Linked DNA regions of Drosophila melanogaster. The gene in region 3 interacts genetically with the main gene of each other region. Each region holds a gene or a part of one and is shown on either strand. Other genes may lie near its edges.

Region 1 (6,026 bases), on a different chromosome or scaffold from region 3:
AACACCGCAAAAAGCACACCAGCAGAGTCAATAAAGCTAAAAACCGGTGGCTATCACAAATCGCGGCGGTATGGAATCTGCTGGCTATTTTCCCGGCTCTGACCGCTCAGCAACGCATCGCCCAAGCAACTGAAGCCAAGCTTCTGAGCCCCAGCTGGAGCTGGAGCTGGAACCGATGAGGCCCATTTAGACGTCGACCAAGAAGCGCCGGACCCAGCAGCTGATAGCACCCAGAGCCGATCCTCTCCCGCTGAGCGGCGAACCGGTTTCCCATTCCACCACTTCGCAGAATCGCAGAACGATCCGAAGCGATCAGAAGCCAGAGCACACAAAGCACAAAGGCAGCCTGTAATTAGCGAGTGGGTAAGCAACAGGCGAGCGGTATGGACTAAAGGATACCGCGTAAGGTCTATGCTGCGCTTGGTGACCCCGATATTTACACCTTTAAAAGTCGAGTATAATTGTGTCACAGAATCGTGTTTTAGAACTTACCATATATATAGTTTCAATTGCAGTAATCTTGTTTTTTTTTTTTTTGTATAATTCTTCTCTAATTAAAGTGGTGACCCAGATACTTACTTTCTTGCCTAGGTTGCGACCTAGGTGGTGACCCAAGAAGTCCTTTTCAACTTATAGTCTGAAACATATGCTTAAAATTTAAATTTCTTATGACAAATCTTTCTGAAATAAATGCATTCTGTTTGTATTTCCCCATTTTTTTTATACAGTGCAGCAATTCAATAAAAGTGGTGACCCAGAAATCCCTCTAAAATTAAACAGAACCAGAAAAATCACTTCACAGAGTTCTGGAAACCGAACTGCCAGAAATAATATTGTACCGATTGATTATATCTTAAAACGTATCTACTTTATTGGTATTAAATGGTTCGATCGCGGTGCTCATAGAGATCACAGATGAGTGTTTGCCAATTGCGATGGATCAGGCAGTCCTGATCCCAAATAGAAATAATATACATACAAAAAAAACAAAAACTTTACTTTTCCCAACTTTACACCCGATTGTCCGGCCAGACAATGCCCTCGATAAAGTCCAGATAGGACGAGACACGCGTATAGAGTCCCGGTGTGACGGTGGCGCATCCGAATCCCGACGAGATGACGCCCATGATGGTGTACATGCCGTCCTCCACGTTGAGCTCATGAATGAGCGGCCCACCGGAGTCGCCCTTGCATGCGTCGGCGATGAGCTTTTGATCAATGGCGCACAGCAACGAATCGATCACGCCCTGCTTGAGCAACCTTATGGAACCGGGCTGCTCCGCATAGGATATATTGCATTGGTCCAGAGGCACCAGCTCCAGACCAGCGCGCAACAGGATCTTAGATCGCGCCCGAGCTGCGGATGGTTAGCCATTAGTGGAAGTGGAGGATATGGAACTTTTTGTGCTACCCACTGGTTACATTTAGGACGCCCCAACCGGCGACAAAGAACTTGGAGTTCGATGGCGGATCGGTGGCATCCGTATGGAGACAAGCGGGCCGGATGTTATCCGTCTCGACGACATCACGTTCCAGTTCCAAAATGGCGATATCGTTGTACTTATTGCCCACATACTGCGGATGGATCTTAACGCTTCGCTGAGATATGGTATCGATCAGAATGGCTATAACTTAATGCATAAGCACAGTGACTCACTATGACGATATCCTGGTAGGAATGGTCTGGATTTTCAATGTTCACAGCTCCCAAGCGAACAAAGGCCGGCGTATTGGCATCGGTGTTGACACAATGTGCGGCGGTCAGGACGAAGCGACTGGCGATTAGCGATCCGCCGCATCGGAAATCGGTGCCAAAAGTGATGTAACCAATGGCCGCCATATGGGGATATACACCCGGATCAACCGGATAACCGCCCACGATGTGTATGACCAATTGATTGCCGCTCCTCTGCTGTTTTCGCTCGCGAATCTTCTTGCAGGCTATATCGTGGGATTGGAAATAAGTAGAGGAACTCTAGGAGTGATCTGATCAAAAGAGTAAGCACCTGCCACTGCTGGGCGATCACCGCTTCCGAACGTGGGCACATCGACACGACCACTGGTCATTGGAGCTTTTGTGCTTGTGGTGGAGCTTGTGGAAACGCTTGTTATGGTACTGCAAAGGCAAACAACCCATTTCTATGTGATCCCAATGGAAGCAATTCGCGGATTACCTATTGTCACAGCACGGCTTGGTGGGACAGCAGAAGATCTCACCCCAAGCGCCGAGGCCACAGCTGGGCACATCGTTGAGCGTCAGGACTCCCGACTTGATGTAGCCATCGATTAGGGGCTCACAATCGGAGGATGTTCTGCAGATACCGGGCATGGTATCCGTCACCTTGCAGGCCCGACCCACTGAAACAAACGCAAGATTCGAGTCGGGCAAATACTTGATGTGACCTGGCTGAGATCGGAACTCACCTGTGACGGCTGCTTCCACGGAGGAGCAGCTGATGAGCACAAAAGTGCCGAGTAGCAGGGACCACTTCAATGGCATCTTAATTCGCTGCAATTAATGGAGAATGTAAATGAATGAGCTTCGCCATGATTTTCTGATTACAATAAACCAGCAGCCATTGACCAACTTATTGAGTACAGATGCTAGACATGAACTACAGTCACTCCTGGCATTGGAGGGCCAAGTGGGTGAGGAAAACTCAAGATTATTTTTTTCTTCAAGGCAGTATTTCACCATCCAACGGAAAACATAACATGGAAAGGTTGGATCGGTTGATTCACCTTTTTTTTTTGGCGACTGTAATCTTCGTTCTGTCACTCAGTACGAGGGGTATTTATAGCTGATATCGAAAACCTCCTAAACTATCTGAGTTGGGGATTTGTTTCTGATAAGGACAGAATGCTGTTTAGTTTGGATAGAGCCGCTTACGCTTATTGATTGTGAGTGCTGAACTAGCTTGCAGTAATTATAAGCTAATCACATGTATGATTGTACGACTTATGCTCATGGCACGAACCTTCCACGGAACCCACCTTCGACACAACCTTTTGCCAGACTTTGATAAGGGAATACGTCGCTGTTTCGATGTTCTTCGAGTGCACCGATCACTCCGAGTATGGCAATCGGAAGCACAGCACAAAAACACAAGGAATACAATACAATAAATCAAGCAAAACACGAGGAAACCAGCAAAAACAAAACTGCACACGACGTAAACTCAATGGAGCTTTAAAACCGGTGGCTATGGCGGAGAGAATCTGACCGATATGGTCACAGACGCGGCGGATTGAAACGGTCAGGCTGGGACGACGGTTCTGACCGCTCAGTAAAGCATCTCCAGTGCAACTGAATCCCAATCTGTGACTAGTCCAATCTACACACTAGGCGGCAATAGATTGCTCTCCAACCGGTTTTCATCTCTGAAAGATTCTTGAATCCAGAGCCACAACCGATCCGAAATAATCGGAAAACCCGAGCAATGCTTTTATGAATAATTAAACATAAATAAATATAAGAGGAGATCGTTTTTCAGCGGAATTAGCAATGAGTTTCTTATGCTGCATAGTCCAAACTGTAATGACACAGTCTCCTCCCTTTGAATTTGTATATCAAAGAACTAAGAGCAGTACTTAAGATGTAACTGTTTCGAAACGAGACCTTCAACAATTCCAAGTGCTTGATTTATGCGAACAAATAGCGAATAAAGTCATCATGTGTGCAAATATTTGCAAATTTATGCAATAACTAAACGTAACTTGAAGGCGCTGTTTACTCTATTAACTTTTGAATGAACAGAGAGAATTGTAATAAATATATAAAATTTATTTATAATGTTTCTTATATTAATTTACTTACTACAATGAGGTTTTGGGTAGATGTTAACTGGTATATTCTTAGGCATAAAAGTACAGTCAGATCGTGTTCAGTGTGACCATGCTGCTCCAATTATTTCACAAGCTGATGCTTGCGAAATCAATTTCACTTCTGCGTTCTTCTCATCCAATTTATACATTATTTGCATAGATTGTTCTAACTTAACCTGGATGACTACTTCTGCTCCTGCTCCACAAACCGCCTGAACGGCGGACTCAGCAGACCCGTGAAGTACATGGTCCGTGCCTCGCACTCAGCCCCCGTGGGCGTGGCAACCCCAATGACGCAGCGACCTCCGCCCGGTCGCACCAGATGGAGTACACTGCCCACGGAAGCCGGACAGGCGGCGCAGGTGCTGCTGTTGGAGAACCGCTGCAGCTCCCTTTCGCCGTCCATCGGCTCCACGCAAAGATGTGAGCTGCCCAGATCCTGAACTCCGCCGTAATTGGGTAGATCCCCGCAGGCCCATGTGGGACGCAGTCGCATGGGCATCTCGAACAGCGGACAGTCAGTGTCTGAAAGAGCTTTATTCGTTTAGTTGGAACTCCTTGGATGAGTATGCTATAGCTCACCTTCACCCTTGCCCCAACCCACGGCCACTAGGCTGCCGCTACGCTGCAGCCTGGTCAGCTCGAACTGGGTGCAAATGGGAGCCACGCTCACATTCGCGGAGGTCTGACTGCCCAGACGCAGTGGGTCCTGCAATCGTATAAGTGATAGATCCTTTTGAAATTGAACCAGGCGCTAAAATATTCGACATTTTAGATTTGATGTACATGGGCAAGGACTGATGGACTCACCACTATATCCGCCAGATAGTCCTCGTCGGCGTCAACGTCCCGCAGATCAGCCACTCCGAAAACAGCATGACTTGGTCGCTCGCAGCCAGCGGCGCTGACCAGGAGCTGGGGCGTCAGTACCAGGGCGGCACAGTGATGCAGGTGGCCATCGAAGGCGGCATTCGGATGTGCCAGCGAAGCCAGATGGCGGTAGTGTGGCAGTAGCCTATCCGCCCGTGCAATGGCGGCCAGCTCTAGCGGATCCTCGGCAGCTTTGCCCTCCGACGAATCACCCTGGACACCCAGCCGCAAGCCGGTGTGGACGCGTGGCTGCAGCGGCAGATTGAGCGGACAGCAGATGATCTCCTCGTGCGTTCCCTCGCGGCACGTTGTGAAATCCTCGTCCCTGAGACGACCCTGCGACAGGAGTGGCTCCACACTGGGGCAGGCGGATACGGCACGACACTGGCCCTCGTACAGGGGAGCCGTGCAGTCGGCGCCATCGGAGGTGTCTCTGAAGGTGATGCTCTCCCTCGTTGGCCGGTGCGTGGACCCAATGGATTGCTGGACGTAATCGCGATCCGTCTTGAATATGCTCAGCCAAGGTTCTGGCGCTGGAGTTGTGGTAGTAGTGGTGGTTGTGGTGGAAGTAGTAGTAGATGTTGTGCTGGTAGTAGTAGTAGTTGTAGTTGTACTGGTGGTGGCCGCCGTGGGATCTAACCGCACCTCGCTCTGGGCATCCTCGACGGGACAGCAGATCTTCTCGCTGCGCGTGGTGAAGCCACAGTTCATCACCGCCCTCAATGTGAGTCGTCCCGTTTTAAGATGCGACGCCAGAGTCTCACAATCCTCCAGCGCTTGGCAGCGACTGCGGTAATTGACCGTGGGACAGGGATCACCCACTGCAACCAGGGAACAATCATTCGTAATCAATAATCAATAATAATCACCAAATAACGATCAAATAATAATGAGTTGCGAATACTGAGCATCCAATTATGAAAGACTACGTGTACAAATTATAAAGTGTACATTGTTAAATAAACATGTAAATTGACTTCAACTCATGGAGCGCGCCAGGAGATGTTAATATTTGGTCTGGTAAAAAAGTTAAGTGGATCGATCAGGCGATAGCTTACGCACCCTCCAGACTGAAGTAGCCCCGACAGAAGCCCAGACAGAGGCTCGCGAAGATCAGGGCGGATATGAAGCCCGTTGGCCCTCGACGTAACATTGCTCGACTCTCGATTGCTTTCGATGCTAATGTTGGTTGTTATTATTATTGGAAGCCAACTATCGTCGCTTCTGCTCCTCAACTGGCTGCTACAAACAACAAACTGGCTGCAGAGACTGACCGATCGACGAAGCGGCTGGCGATCAACTGGCAGCTGGAGCAAGCTTGACTCTCGGAG
Region 2 (8,688 bases), on a different chromosome or scaffold from region 3:
TTTCATTACTTATTCAGACGGACGGACACATAGCGCGATACTGCGACCACTTGGACACACATGCATGAGCAGGCTGTCATTAAGCGTATGTCACTATTTCACCATTTTCTCGTTAACTTGACCCGCGAGCTGGCTCGCTTGACTTGCCCCGTGACTTTTGGGCCATCCTCGCCCGATTGGCCAATCTGCCGCTCATCTGGATCGCCAAGGTGCCACATCGATTAATGGGCGTCCTAAATGAGCTCGTTTCCCTCTCGATTAATAACTATTAGGTTAATTGGATCAAGTCGTTGGAAAAATGGCACCTTAATTACTTAAGCTCTGTGATTTTCATTTGGCACTTCAAATTAACAGTTTAGGCTTACCTAATGTTCGCAAAGTTTGTGCTAATATGATACATAAAATGATTAAAATTAAAAGAGGAAGTATATTTGCTCATTAAAGCTAATCTACGCACATATTAACAGGTATTCAAAGCTTTACAAAGTTAATCATACTACAACTATTGCAAGACATTGTGAAAAGTCTTGACCTTTTCCAATGTATCAATTCTCAGACAAACGTATGATTCAATGTTTACTAATAAGTTGTAACTTTAGCCGTTTCGCTGAAAGTAATTAATGAAGTTAGTTAAGGCGGTGCTAACTTAAAATTTTACTGCTAAATGGATTTCAAATTAACATTTAGGATAGTGGAAGCTGAAATTATATACATTAACTTAGCTCATAAAAATACAATTTGGAAACCTCCTAAATATATGCACCACAAGCTTAATAGATCCCTAAAGTATGCAAGTAGATTTAAACAAGTTTGATGCAATCGTAATATATTGAAATGGTTTGTTCAGTTGAGGATTTAATTGATTTCTGAGAATTTTAGATTGTTTAGAACAGATATGTATGGGCATTACAATAATACAAAATTGCATCATCATGCAATTTAGTTATCTACTTACACAGCCCCCCTTCATTGCATTTTATTACGTACTAATTGATAAAGAAATTCTTATGAATCAACAGTGCAGCTGATGTTTCTACGAAATGGCCTCAACTCAGTCATTGGTGCATAATTCGGGGGAAAGGCTATGCTATGAGTAGATATGGCCAAGTAAAATGCATTCTGCTAAGAAGTTCCCGTTTTTCCATGGCGAACGACATCCACTTTGGGCCATAAACATAAGCACACAAGGTAGATCCATTCAGGCACGACTGCGTCAGATGCCGTTTACATGGCGATTACTTGCAGTGTGCGACTTAAAGATGCGGTTTTTTGTCCGCCGTTCTCGGAAATACCAATTGAGTCACCATCTTTCCCAAGCGCCTCAGCACGCTCCAAGGCGGCGACTGGCGGGCTAATTTAAGCGATTCGGATCTGCGGCTCCCATGACGCGTGCGCCAACGGAACTGGCGTTTGCGGCACCCGTTCGGAATATCAAATGTGTTAGAAATATTAGATGGGCTCCAACGTGGGGATAGTTTCATTGGTGGTGGTGCCGAGAGCAGAGCAGTTGTGCTCCGCGAGCTTTGATGCCGAGCTTTGGCCCGGCACCACTTTTACTTTCAGCAGCAACAAGTGCTGGCCGGCACCTTCTCACAGGTCAACTTGACCGACTGTGAGAAGCCCTACACTTGGCTAACATGGGTTTAGCCCGATAGAGAAGGTGGTAATCAACCACCCACTTGCCACAAAGTTTGGTTATTTTCAGCTCGGGGAAATTTCTATATTTTCGGGCTACCTATAAACTTGTTTTCTTTCTGGATTTAAATAAAAGTGATAATTCAATCGCTGCTTCTTTAAGTATACCTAATAAAAAAGCAATAAATCTCTAATCGCGTATGTTCAATAACAAGCGGACAGATAATAGTTAATTACTAAAATGGGTCGACGAAAAGGGCAAATTTGTACATAAGTGTTTATTAAGTACAGTATTCATTATTTCAAACGGAAACTTAATCATCCAAAATGCAGCTTTGATTGACTTCCGCAGATAACAAAGCTCTGACTTCGAGGCATCCAAACATTACTCTGTGGCTGCTCTAACTTTTTCGTAATATTTGTTTTAAAAAATTTTGCGATAACGAAGTTAATTTTTGGTGTCAAATGCCACTCAAACGATATGTACATTTTATGCAAAGCTTTATGGCAACTATGCTGATTAGAATGAATAAAATGTTTGTATGGAATTAGTTTTTGAAAGTATGTTTTTAACTTATGTGTTAAAATAGTACAATTGAGGGTTTGATATTCTTCTTAAAGCTCCAGTGATTTGTATTTGGTTTAACAACAGATGTAATTAAAAACGTTAGTCATTATAGTGTTAGTTTGATGTGCACTTACTTTTCTCCAAGTGTAATATGATTCAGATAATTCCGACTGGTAAAGTTTTTCGTGAAGCAGGCGCAATTAGTAGCACTGCTCGGAGTCAGCTGTGATAAAATCGCGGTCCGCTCGCCCAGACGTCCCGCTCCCTCGCACGACCCTCGCGCTCACTACCCATCCCGCTTCCACCGCCTCTGACCGGCGGCGTCTCGCTCGCGCACAGCGCCCGCTCCCGCTCACACTCTCGCAAGCTAGCTTAAAGCTGCACTTAAGCACTGAGCAATTGTTTGGGGGAGCAGACGAGTCGAGTCGGCGGCCTCTGGGCTCCACTTTTCATTTTCAGTTGCCTCCCAGACGTGCGCTCTCGCTGTCGTGTGTTCTCGATCGCGAGAAATCCAAATCGAAATCGCAGTCGAAATCGAACTTGGTTAATGCTTAACACTCTGCATGCCCGGGAGATATGGTGAAACTCTCGATCTGACCGGAAAATCCCAGCGCGCGTCGCTATAAACACTTAAGATCGGTGGCAGATGGTATCGGGCTTGAGGTCCATAAAAGCGCATTCATCTCGAGCTTTTCGTGTCACTCAAAGACGGCGCACAGAGCCGAAAAGTTGAAGACTCACATATCCTGCGATCAGCTACTTGGATAGCCCATTGCCCAGTTGCAAGCCAAATCGGTTATAAACGATATCAATATCGCGGCATTTCATCAGAGCAACCAAATCGAACCGATCCGAAAACGGTTCCACTAAAGCGGCGAGAGCGAAACTAAAGTGAAAAGCAAACCGACTAATTGAAGTGTCTGTCTGTGTGTCTCGCAAACGTGCAAAGGAAACAAACAAAACGGAATAGCCAACATATCACACAGAGCCACCGCACAAAATATTTATAAATAAATAAGAGGCAACAGTAACACCAGCTACCAGTATAAAGGCCCGGCATTAACATTTAGTCGTGCCAGTTTGTTTATTTTTTATATACGCAAAGCCCATAAAAAGAAAAAAACGCACAGATCACTAAAAAACAACAGCAGCCGGCGCTATAATAACAAAGTTGTAGAAATAAGAAAATTGGTATAAGACGCCACCGATCCGCCAATCACCTGCTATATACTATTACTAATCCCCGACGCAGACGTTCGCCGTCCGCAGAATCTATATATATTTATAAATCCAATTGATTAAGCCCGAGATCGAGCATGATGACGCCCATGTGGATATCGCTGTTCAAAGTCCTGCTGCTGCTGTTCGCCTTCTTTGCCACGGTGAGAAATTTACAATTTTACAAATTTCAAAACAGTCGAACCTCCATAAGGGAAACTTTCAAAAGAAGTTAAAGTTTTAAAATTTAAAGATCTTTGCGTCGAAACAATAATTTATTCCAAATCTATCTAATCTGATAAAAGGTTAAAGTCTCCTTGTCTTCTTAAGACAAGCACTTAAGATCTTAAGACTCCAGAACTTGATTTTTTGTTTATTTGAAACAGGTGCTCGCTTGTTCCAGTTATGAAAGTTCGACTGCATTTCTGTTTTTTTCTGTTCCGTGTTAATCTATGCTTAACATAACTGTCATTTCATTGCAATATATTTCGGGCTATGGGCTTTTTAGCTATTAAGATTTATTTTAGATTTTCCATAGTTGTTCTAGCAGTTCCATTAGCCGAAGGGCAGTTTCAAGTTTAAATTTAGTCACAGACTAGAAAACCTGTTCGCATTGCCAGCGGCAGGTTATGTGCAATTTTCATTCTCTATATGATAAATGCACATCATAGGCATTACAATAATATTAATTGACACAAACAATGCCAGACATTCTGCACACGACTTTGGAAGTAATTTACTGCCGGACAAATTGTATGATCATCTCTGTGAGAAAAGCAATTAGTTCGTATTAATGGCGTCGAATGTTAGAAAATCCGTTTGAAAAGCGCCCGAGAACTTTTGTCTTTCCGGTTTTCCGCGAATTCCGCAGCGGACCGGTTCTAAAGATCGTTTTCAGTTCTAGCTAAATTCCAATAGGTTCACGGAAAACCTAAAACTGTGATGGAAAAACGATCCAATGTTTGCCTTAGTTGCGTCTACGCCAAACACTGATGAACGCGTTTAAAAAAAGGTTGATTGCTAATTGATTGGGAAAAAACATTTCCGAGAAATCGCAAAAGTTCTCAGACAATCAAGTTCAGATGGGTTGGCACCTTAAAGCGGGTTTTCTACATGCTCGTCGAGACCCAATTTTAATTTGGGTAAATTCTGTTGACGATTCCATGGACTCTATTCAAGAATTTAAGCATAATAAAAAGTCTTGACGAGATTAGGGGCTATTATCAAGGCTTATTTATATCACTGCATATACATATATATATAACATAGAAATATTTTAAAGAGTAGCACTAAAAGTGCTGATAATTCTAAAATCGCCAAGCTATTTGCATAATTATGGTCCTCGGATTATCAATACATTAAAAGCAACTATTGGCTTGTTCTTTTATATAAATAACCTTCCGGTTGGATTATGTTGATTTTTATTCAGGATCGGCTTGCCTTTAGATTTTCCAATTATTCAGTCTTTATTGCTTGCGGAAGAGGGACATCCGTTTTCAAGTTGCTAAGCTAGAGGCAACTCTCGAGGGGATTATCAACTCTGATTTTGGACTCTGGCTGTTGTTATATGTATATAGGTTCGGGTCCTAACTCAACGGAACTATAGAATTGCGAGAGAAAACTGCGCTTGCCCGAAAAACAGCTGTTCAAACCTTTTGAATACGCAAATGTAGTGCCCGACAATAGAGAGAGAGAGAGAGAGAAGTCTGGGTTGACAAACAAACGAGCCCGAGCACCGACCCACGAATATATACTCCGTTGTCTTGGCAATGTTGATGAACTGCAAACAAAACTCTCACCTGTATCTTTCAGATAGTTTATATCAATATCGAATTAACGAAGCGACACGAGGCCGAGGTGAGGGCAGAGAAAACAGTGGCAGACTATAAGGCCCTTTTGGCTACCATTAACAATGGCGGACCCGGAAAGTCAGCATCTAATCACTTACAGGTGTGAGCACAGTGTCCCCGAGTGTCCCGAAACAGACCCAGTTGTATCGTTATGCTTAACACCTTAATAGCCTTAATTTGTCTGTGGTGTGGTCAAAACTTCTGAACCGAGACTAAAGTCTATTGTCTTGTCTTTTTATTTCGCCATTTTTGCTACAGTACGAGGCCAAGGAGTATGAACGTATCATCAAAGAGCTTTTTACAATAACCAATGATGAGGGAGTTGTCCTCTTTAATGTAAGTGTATACATAGGCAAATGCATGATTTCTCTGTAAAATGTGTCTTTGATGTGAAACGCAATTCATAGCTTCAAGGACGAATTGGTGCGCTGCTTTCTTATAACTACTCTTCATCCTATATTGCATCCCCATTTCACTGCTCATTTGGTTTCTTATTGGGTTGTGTGTTGTCTTTGTGCTTCCTTTTTTTGCCAATTGGCTAAAGACTAACACGAGTAAATTTTACCCGTACAGACGTCCGCGGACAGTGCACCCTTCATGCCCATACCCACCCAGCACGACGATCCGACCCAGAAACAGAAACAGAATCAGAATCAATCTCCGATACCCGAAACGAACCGCCATTACCATCAGTATCACAGCCTGATCCAACCAGATCAGTACTTCAAAGTGCAGCGCTCCCCGAATGGAAAGCTGAATCTGGTCTTTAACGATACGTTCGTATCTTTGCAGAGGACGGACACGGAGGTGCAATCCGAACAGCCGATACCCCCCCGACATCCATCGGATAGTAAGTACTAAGTATTTTAGCCTATATATGCTCAGTTACATTCGATACCCAAACATGCCTTACAACTAACTACTAAATCGATCCCATACTCACTGGCCAACTGCCTTTGGCGCTTGCCTAATTTTAGCCTTTGTCTTCCCCGATTCCCCCATAGCCAAGTATCGGCCACCACAATCCCCAGCTCGTCCTTTGAGGAATGACACTAAAGAGCACAATCCCTGCGCCAAGGATGAAAGCCAACACCTTAGAAACTTCTGCACGAATGTGGACGACTATCCGGACCTTTCAGGCCTCACACATAAGCTAAAAAACAACTTTGCCAAGTTCTTTAGCAACGATCTTCAGCCCACGGATGTGAGCTCTCGCGTTGGTGGCTCAGACGAGCGATTCCTTTGCAGGAGCATCAGGAAGCTGGTGTACCCAAAAAAGGGCTTGAGGGCGGACGACACCTGGCAGTTAATTGTCAATAACGATGAGTACAAACAGGCCATCCAGATCGAAGAGTGCGAGTAAGTTATAGCTTGAATCTATGATATATTCCATTAGCCTTGCTAATTGCCAAACCTTCCCTTCCAGAGGAGCGGATCAACCCTGTGACTTCGCCGCCAACTTTCCGCAGAGCTATAATCCAATCTGCAAGCAGCACTACACACAGCAGACCCTGGCCAGCATCAAAAGTGATGGCGAACTGGACGTGGTGCAGAATTCCTTCAAGATCCCTTCCTGCTGCAAGTGCGCGTTGAAGACTGGGTGATTCTGGAAAATGGGATTCTCCAGTCGATGGCTGCGACAATGTGATATTGAGGTGAGGCCACGATTTATTCGTACATTAAATTTTAAAAATAGGTACAGAACAGAAACGACTGACTACCAAGAAGTAGAGGATTTCAATGAATCCTTGCGACTTAAGGCGAACGCTTCACTTGACCAACTTGCGCAGGGTCCAGCCGACGGCGTAGAATCCCACCAGCTTTAGGGCCATTCCCTTGCTTTCAGCCTTCACCAAATGCTTAAACTTGTTCTCGAAATTGCCAACGACGCGATCCATCGGAATGAGATAGTATAATGTCTGCAATTCAGAAGTCTTGAAAATATGTTCGAATGCGGATTTTCGAACTGTGCTTTATCAAGTATTGTACTTAAATTCAAGAATAATGTTTCTTGTGATTCGAAGAGTCAAACTTTTCAGACTGAGACTACAACTCTAAATATGTATACAGCTTCATTGACATTATTTCCTTGTTAACTAGACCAAAAATATAAATTGTATCTCTTCTCTTTGCAGCAAGAAGTTTCACCCACCACAGAATGGCAGGCCAAACTGATCAGTGGTCATTGATTTATTCTATAATCTGCTGAATCCACACATAGACCAATGTGCATATTAATTTAGAGCTTTAAGTCGAGTCATTTTAACCATATTCGTGTCATATATTCATTTTTGACTTCCACGTCTAATGCCTAAGCTAGAAATGCAAGTAATTAGTCCTAGAATAAAAACAAAACAAAACACAAAACACAAAAAAAAAAACAAGAAAGATAGAAATAACGATTTGAAAAATGTATGTTAAAAAAAGATAATGTATAATAAATGTATGCAAGTACATGCCAGCAAAGTAAAGTTCTTTGAACCCATCAGCGAGTACCTGGTGGACAATTTATTTGCTTATTAACAATAATTCGGTTCGCCCCGCTGCGCAAACCAATTACACCCTAGTGAGTGTAAACACATTCCCCCAAAGGGGTGGTGGTTGGCTTTCACCGGCAAAAGGATAACATGCATCGACTTCGGCTTCCTGGCGCTGGATTTTTCCAACTGTCAGCGGGGCGTATGCGCGATGTGTCTTGAGGTGCTGGCGCTGGCACATGTGGAAATCAATAGTATTTATCGATTCCCAGACACAATAAACTATGTCAAAGTTAGGCCGAACAATGCGAATGCTTGTGGATTCGTTGTGGGCGGGCAAAGTGCCACAATTTAATTACTATTATTAGGTATCCTTCCCGTTTGGCCAAATCCAGTGTCGTGCCCTGGTCGATTGGGCATTGGCCAGGGTCATCAATCATGCACATCCCCAACAGCCACACACAGCCGCGTCCATATCAATTAGCAACTATCCATATATCTCCGCCCACCGATTTTATATATGTATATATATAATCGTAGAGTTTGGATTGCCCTTTGTAATGTACTTTTTCTCATTACGCCACTGGCTCCGTTGCGCGGATTGTGGTCACTTGGCGTCCCTTCGTGTTCTGTTCTGATTCACTGTGGAAATACACTGGAACTTGTATTCGAACGCCGCATACCTCAGATTAATACCTTAATCACTTAGCAATACTAGTCAGGTTGCACGACAAAGGTGCACGTTTAATACATAATCACAGTCAGCGTTTACACATCTGTATATTAAGTACGCCTGCGTTATCGGTGCTAATTACTTCTAAATCATTTGTTAAGTAATGCTCCATATATAATATTGCTGTATATTAGCTACAAACCATTTCGCGAAACGGAGCGACCCTAGCCCTAATGGATACAATGGAACTAAAAACAAGGATATGGA
Region 3 (5,645 bases):
TGCAATAAATTAGTAAATTTGAAATACCTATGCGGAACTGCTAGAGTTTCTCCGAGTGCATCGAGTGCTATAAACAAGGAAGGGGGAGTTTGTGGGCTGGCAATTTCTATAAACGCTGCTAAATGCATGAGCTGTGCTGCAAAAGGAAGGGAATGGCGATGCCAGAAGAAAGAATGCCGACTATGATTAGGCCACATGGAAATTACAAGTTTCCTTTATGTCGCTTTAATTGATGCTGCCCCGGATGCCGATTCTTGGCCTTTTGCTCAGCTCGTTAGCAACATGCTGTCAGATTCAGAGCAACTCGGATGCAAATTGCATGTGTAAATATTGTGATGGCCACGCGGCAGCCTTATGATTTATTCGCCATAATTATATGCAAATCGGACAAATCGTGCGGCCAACGCGCAATTTAATGCAATTTCGGTGTAAGCCGCCCACGGACAGCAATCGCTCCTCGTTTGCCACCTCCGCTGCACTGCATCCCCTGGCATCACACCCCCCCCCCCCTCTGATGACCACCTGACTCTCCGGCGGCTCCCCAATTAATGACTCGCAAACAACGTCGGTGGTGAGCTGCTCCTGCGGTCGTGGTGCACCAGCACAAGTACCAGTGCCAGCAACATGCTGCCACTAATTGAGGCATCGCCCCGGTGACAACTTGCAATATTTCCATGCGGTTGCTGTCACCACCTGCGGTTCACGGTCCGTGGTGCGGGGGTGTCTGGGTAATTGGCCAGGTAATTTAAGCAAATTGGGTGGAATAGTTTTGGAAGCACGAGCGATAGCTTGATAAAATAATTCGTTTTCATTTTAAAACATCTTGAAATTATGTGTATAATTCGAATATCTGTTGGTAAGTCTAATGAAATGTATCTGAATGAAAAGGAGTAACGCAAAAACAAAGACTGATTCAAAAGATTACTTAATTAAAACTTTATACTACGAATGTGCGCAGATAATCACATATGTGATCAGAAAATTATTATACTCCTGAAATACATAACGTTAAAGCACTTTCATGGTAATTCCTAGTCTGTGGAATCTTATCCAATAAATTTCAAAATGATTGGTGAAATGATTAGTTCTAAACTAGTGAACACCCCATACAAATTCAAGTATTACTTACTATAATTTATTCAGGCAGCGTCACTGATTTTTTTGTCGATTCCAATTGTTTAAGTTATGATAAAGCTTTCCAGTTGACAACCGTAGGTGTTTCTGGGGAAATTCCCCTAATTGCAGCTGGATGCTCCGATCGAAACCTACTGCCATTTAAACGGCTAGATCGATTCGGAGTGGAGGGTGGTGACACCTCCGTAACCCTGCGATAAGTCGGAGGCCAGCCTTTGTTTGATCGGGCAAAACACTAGACGTCATATCAGCCGGAACAAACACACGCGGCAGAACTGAATGGAAGCGGAATGAGCCGAGCTGAGCCCACCTGGTGCAGCGCAATTAACTAGACTGCTTCCCAAACACTCCTCCTCTACTTATCGATTGCATTCTGGCCCGGCACTCAAACTCGCATTCATATCAGCGATGCACTCCGTCGTGCCCCACTTTCCAGTGGGCTGCCGGGCGGCGGTGGAGTAGGGGCGTGGCACCACACTCTAATTGGAGTAAATTATGTTTACACATTCGGCCGCCTGCAATTGGGTCACCGTAAACCAGGCAAGATTGGGGAAGAATCGTGTGGGGATTGGGGAAAAGTGCTGATATGAAATGCATTTCGTGTGCGGCTTTACATAATTAGACATTAGATAGGCAGGGAATCCGAGGCTGTGGGGTCTTATCCGGGAGATTGGGGGCTCTCTCCAGCCACCGGGGAATACTTAATTAGTTCTCGTCATGTTTATGGGTCGGTTATGTAAAATGGAAAGGTTATTTAATGGACGACAGCGTGGAAATGTCAGCAGGAAATGCAGGAGTTATGAGTAGATTCAGCGCCCGAGATAGTGGATCTATAAATAGACGGAAAACTAAACAGGTTTCTTTCACCGAATCCCCAGCGGTGAGTCACATCCTTAACTCTCCAGTGGCGGCTAGAACGGCAACCCACGCGAATCGCGGACTAAGATGCCAGGGATAGGTGCAGGGAAAAGCTTCGCCATATACAACGTGCATATTACATATTGTGTGTTTTCCTCTGTGTAATTGAAATCGTAGCCGGGCTTTTCCCATTCGAGATGAGAGAGTCAGGAGAGTCACTTCCACAGAACTCTCCATTCGATTTGATAATCGAACGCTTCTCCTTAGCATAGCAGCTATGGTTGTGGACCGGTTCTCTCTTCCAATCGCCGTATAGCTCGTATCTGCTCTGCTGCTAGAGATCGGTTTTGCAACGATCAGTTTTGTAGCGCAGCTGAAAACGAGCTGATCGGCTAATCGGAAGAATACATTCATTTAGAAGGTTTCCAGCTAGAAATAACAGATAAGAAACATGGCGAGCAAAGTCTGTGAGTTGTGGAAAATCCATCCAAGAGTCGCCCGCGAAAAGCTATAATGTTTTCCTATTCCTACAGCGATCCTTCTCCTGCTAACCGTCCATCTTCTGGCTGCTCAGACCTTCGCCCAGGAGCTCATCGCTTGGCAACGGCAACAACAACAGCAGCAACAGCAGCAACTGCAGCTACAGCAGCAACTGCTGCTGCAGCAGCAACAACACCAACGTAACCCAAGACCGGAGCTGGGCCTCCGTTCCCTGCCCGGAAACCCGTGGACCCAGAACAATCAGGAAGCCATAAGCGATGTGGTGGCGGTGGACCTAACCAAACGTGAGCCGGTCACTCCGCCACCCAATCGCCCGCCGCCCGTCTTCAGCTACATGGACCGCTTCAGCTCCGAGCTCTTCAAGGAGATCATTAAGTCGCAAAGTCAGCAGAACGTGGTGTTCTCGCCCTTCTCCGTCCACGCGCTGCTGGCCCTGATCTACGGGGCCTCGGACGGAAAAACGTTCCGGGAACTGCAGAAGGCCGGAGAGTTCAGCAAGAACGCCATGGCCGTGGCCCAGGACTTCGAGAGCGTGATCAAGTACAAGAAGCATTTGGAGGGCGCAGATCTGACCCTGGCAACCAAGGTCTACTACAACCGCGAGCTGGGTGGCGTCAACCACAGCTACGATGAGTACGCAAAGTTCTATTTCAGCGCCGGCACGGAGGCTGTCGACATGCAGAACGCCAAAGACACGGCAGCCAAGATCAACGCCTGGGTGATGGACACGACGCGGAACAAGATCCGGGACCTGGTCACACCGACCGACGTTGACCCACAGACGCAGGCGCTCCTTGTGAATGCAGTCTACTTCCAGGGTCGTTGGGAGCACGAATTCGCCACCATGGACACATCACCCTACGACTTTCAGCACACCAACGGCAGAATTTCCAAGGTGGCCATGATGTTCAACGACGATGTGTACGGCCTGGCCGAGCTGCCTGAGCTGGGCGCCACCGCCTTGGAACTGGCCTACAAGGACAGCGCCACCAGCATGCTAATCCTGCTGCCCAATGAGACCACCGGACTGGGCAAAATGCTGCAGCAGCTGTCCCGGCCGGAGTTCGATCTCAACCGCGTTGCCCACCGCCTGCGCCGCCAGTCGGTCGCTGTGCGCCTGCCCAAGTTCCAATTCGAGTTCGAGCAGGACATGACCGAGCCGCTAAAGAACCTGGGAGTCCACCAGATGTTCACGCCCAACTCGCAGGTGACCAAGTTGATGGATCAGCCGGTGCGCGTGAGCAAGATCCTGCAGAAGGCCTACATCAATGTGGGCGAGGCGGGCACAGAGGCCTCGGCAGCTTCCTGTAAGTTCTGAAGACCATCAACACCCCCGAATCCTGTGACTAATTATCTCCCAATCTCTTTCCCAGATGCCAAGTTCGTACCCCTTTCGCTGCCTCCCAAGCCCACGGAGTTCGTCGCCAACCGGCCATTCGTCTTCGCCGTCCGCACACCCGCCTCAGTTCTGTTCATAGGTCACGTGGAGTATCCCACGCCCATGAGCGTCTAAAATGAACCAAATTCGGACAAATTGATTTATTAGAATTCCATTTCTGAGTAGAGCCTTGCCCGTTGCATTTGTGAATAATAATAATAAAGTATGACGCTGTATTTATGGAAACTGAACTTTGATAACCCCGTTTCGCTGATAAGAGCAATGGGATTCCGTGTCGATCACACGGCGATCCGGAGCAGCAGTAGTAGCAGGTATTGCCATTGTGCCTTTTCCCAGTTGTTTGCCGGGGCTCTTGGCTATTCTGGATTTCCAGCGAATGGTTTTTGCCCGCTTCTGTAAGTTGGCAAACCCGTTTTGGAGCCGCGGCACTCCTCCTGCCCTCTTGTCCTCGCATCCACGGCCGTAAATCAAAGGCGGATTTCTCAATCATTTTTCAAAATGAGCGAAGCTTCCTCATGCGCACTAGATCTCACTTGAGATCACCGAGGATGGAGTGCAGGGTAACCCATTTTGGGGGAGCAATGGGGCTGAGAATTGTAAGACTGCGGTATGAGTAATTGAAATACCCGCTGAAAGCTGGGCATAATTAATGGCGCTTACTCAAGGTTGCCTACACTCAACAAAACTACGTTGTAAATTTGGGGTTCTTTCTGATATTGGAAGGTGTTAAAGAGTAGGTAGTAGGTACCTACTAATGAATAATTAAATATCGCGAAAAACGCTTCATCCCTCAGATAGCCCATTTCAAATCTCTGCTGCTAAAACTTATTAAATTGCTAAATAAAAAACAATTAGAGATGATCTAATTAAAATGTCACCATTATTCTTATAGTAATAATTCTAATGATTATATACATCAGTTACCCCTCCGAAATGAAAGTTTAGAATTTCAGATTTCTGATTTGCTATTCTACATTCATTTGATTACGAAGGCAATCAAAATGTCTGCACCTTTTGTGTTGCAGTGTCGAATTAAGAGTGAGTGAGTTAGCTTCCGAACTTGAAATTTTCTCAAGCGCGAAACGAAAACTGGATAGAATCGCTTGCTACCTCTCCCAGTGAATCTCTCTGAGAACTTCGAGCTCTCCGCCTCTCGAATCGTTCCGTATCACCCAAGACCTTCAATGCCGAGCTCTGACTTTGGCTTTGGACCTCTCCAATCAATGACCTCAATGTCTCAATATAATTTGAATTTCCTTGAATGAGCGCGTAGCCTAGTTGTGTGTAAGCCACTGGATCATTAACATTAGCATTAGTCGAAGCTTGGTATTTCCCAAAACATGATCCACTGGAGACTTCTTTCCGCCCTACTTGTGGGCCTGGCTATAGCTTTAACGCTTCCAGTCGACGGGGAGCTCTTGGCCAGATCGCCGGCCAGCGTCTCGAGTAACCGCTTTGGCCTACGCCTAACTACTAAGTTGGGACTAACTCAACCAGATGCAAATGTGGTGGTTTCCCCCTTGCTTATACAGGCGGCGCTCAGCCTGCTGTATGCGGAAAGTTCTTCGGAGTACGGTAGCCAACTCCGCCAGGCTCTGGAGCTGACCCACGCCAGTCACCCGAAGCTTGCGGTGCAGGACTTCGAGACCCTTTTGACGGACCTCAAGCAGTCGGCTGCCATTGGCTGTCGCTTGCGGTTGCTGAGTGACCTCTACGCACAGCAGCGCTTCACCTTCAACTTCCGCAATGAATT

The links.
Region 1: of nec (region 3) and psh, changing one suppresses a phenotype caused by changing the other (phenotypic suppression), as found in Drosophila melanogaster (one study listed by BioGRID).
Region 2: of nec (region 3) and spz, changing one suppresses a phenotype caused by changing the other (phenotypic suppression), as found in Drosophila melanogaster (one study listed by BioGRID).

Annotation. Positions count from the first base shown.
Region 1 is NC_004354.4:18,483,639-18,489,664, forward strand, and holds psh (persephone), read right to left. Parts: upstream 3,284-6,026; 5' UTR 2,995-3,283; intron 2,510-2,994; 5' UTR 2,501-2,509; coding exon 2,425-2,500; intron 2,359-2,424; coding exon 2,175-2,358; intron 2,117-2,174; coding exon 2,007-2,116; intron 1,942-2,006; coding exon 1,658-1,941; intron 1,600-1,657; coding exon 1,416-1,599; intron 1,358-1,415; coding exon 1,011-1,357; 3' UTR 849-1,010; downstream 1-848. Other genes in the region: CG15046 (uncharacterized protein), read right to left, coding at 4,010-4,350, 4,408-4,579, 4,636-5,516, 5,758-5,848.
Region 2 is NT_033777.3:27,064,041-27,072,728, reverse strand, and holds spz (spatzle), read left to right. Parts: upstream 1-2,658; 5' UTR 2,659-3,519; coding exon 3,520-3,585; intron 3,586-5,233; coding exon of another isoform or gene 5,234-5,371; intron 5,372-5,529; coding exon 5,530-5,607; intron 5,608-5,844; coding exon 5,845-6,121; intron 6,122-6,248; coding exon 6,249-6,630; intron 6,631-6,697; coding exon 6,698-6,875; 3' UTR 6,876-6,926; exon of another isoform or gene 6,927-7,040; coding exon of another isoform or gene 7,041-7,169; exon of another isoform or gene 7,170-7,293; intron 7,294-7,406; 3' UTR 7,407-7,641; downstream 7,642-8,688. Other genes in the region: CG43935 (uncharacterized protein), read right to left, coding at 7,041-7,169. UniProt on the Drosophila melanogaster protein: The activated form, spaetzle C-106, acts as a ligand for the Toll receptor. Binding to Toll activates the Toll signaling pathway and induces expression of the antifungal peptide drosomycin.
Region 3 is NT_033778.4:7,154,946-7,160,590, reverse strand, and holds nec (necrotic), read left to right. Parts: upstream 1-2,349; 5' UTR 2,350-2,443; coding exon 2,444-2,459; intron 2,460-2,525; coding exon 2,526-3,800; intron 3,801-3,866; coding exon 3,867-4,006; 3' UTR 4,007-4,114; downstream 4,115-5,645. Other genes in the region: Spn43Ad (serpin 43Ad), read left to right, coding at 5,233-5,645.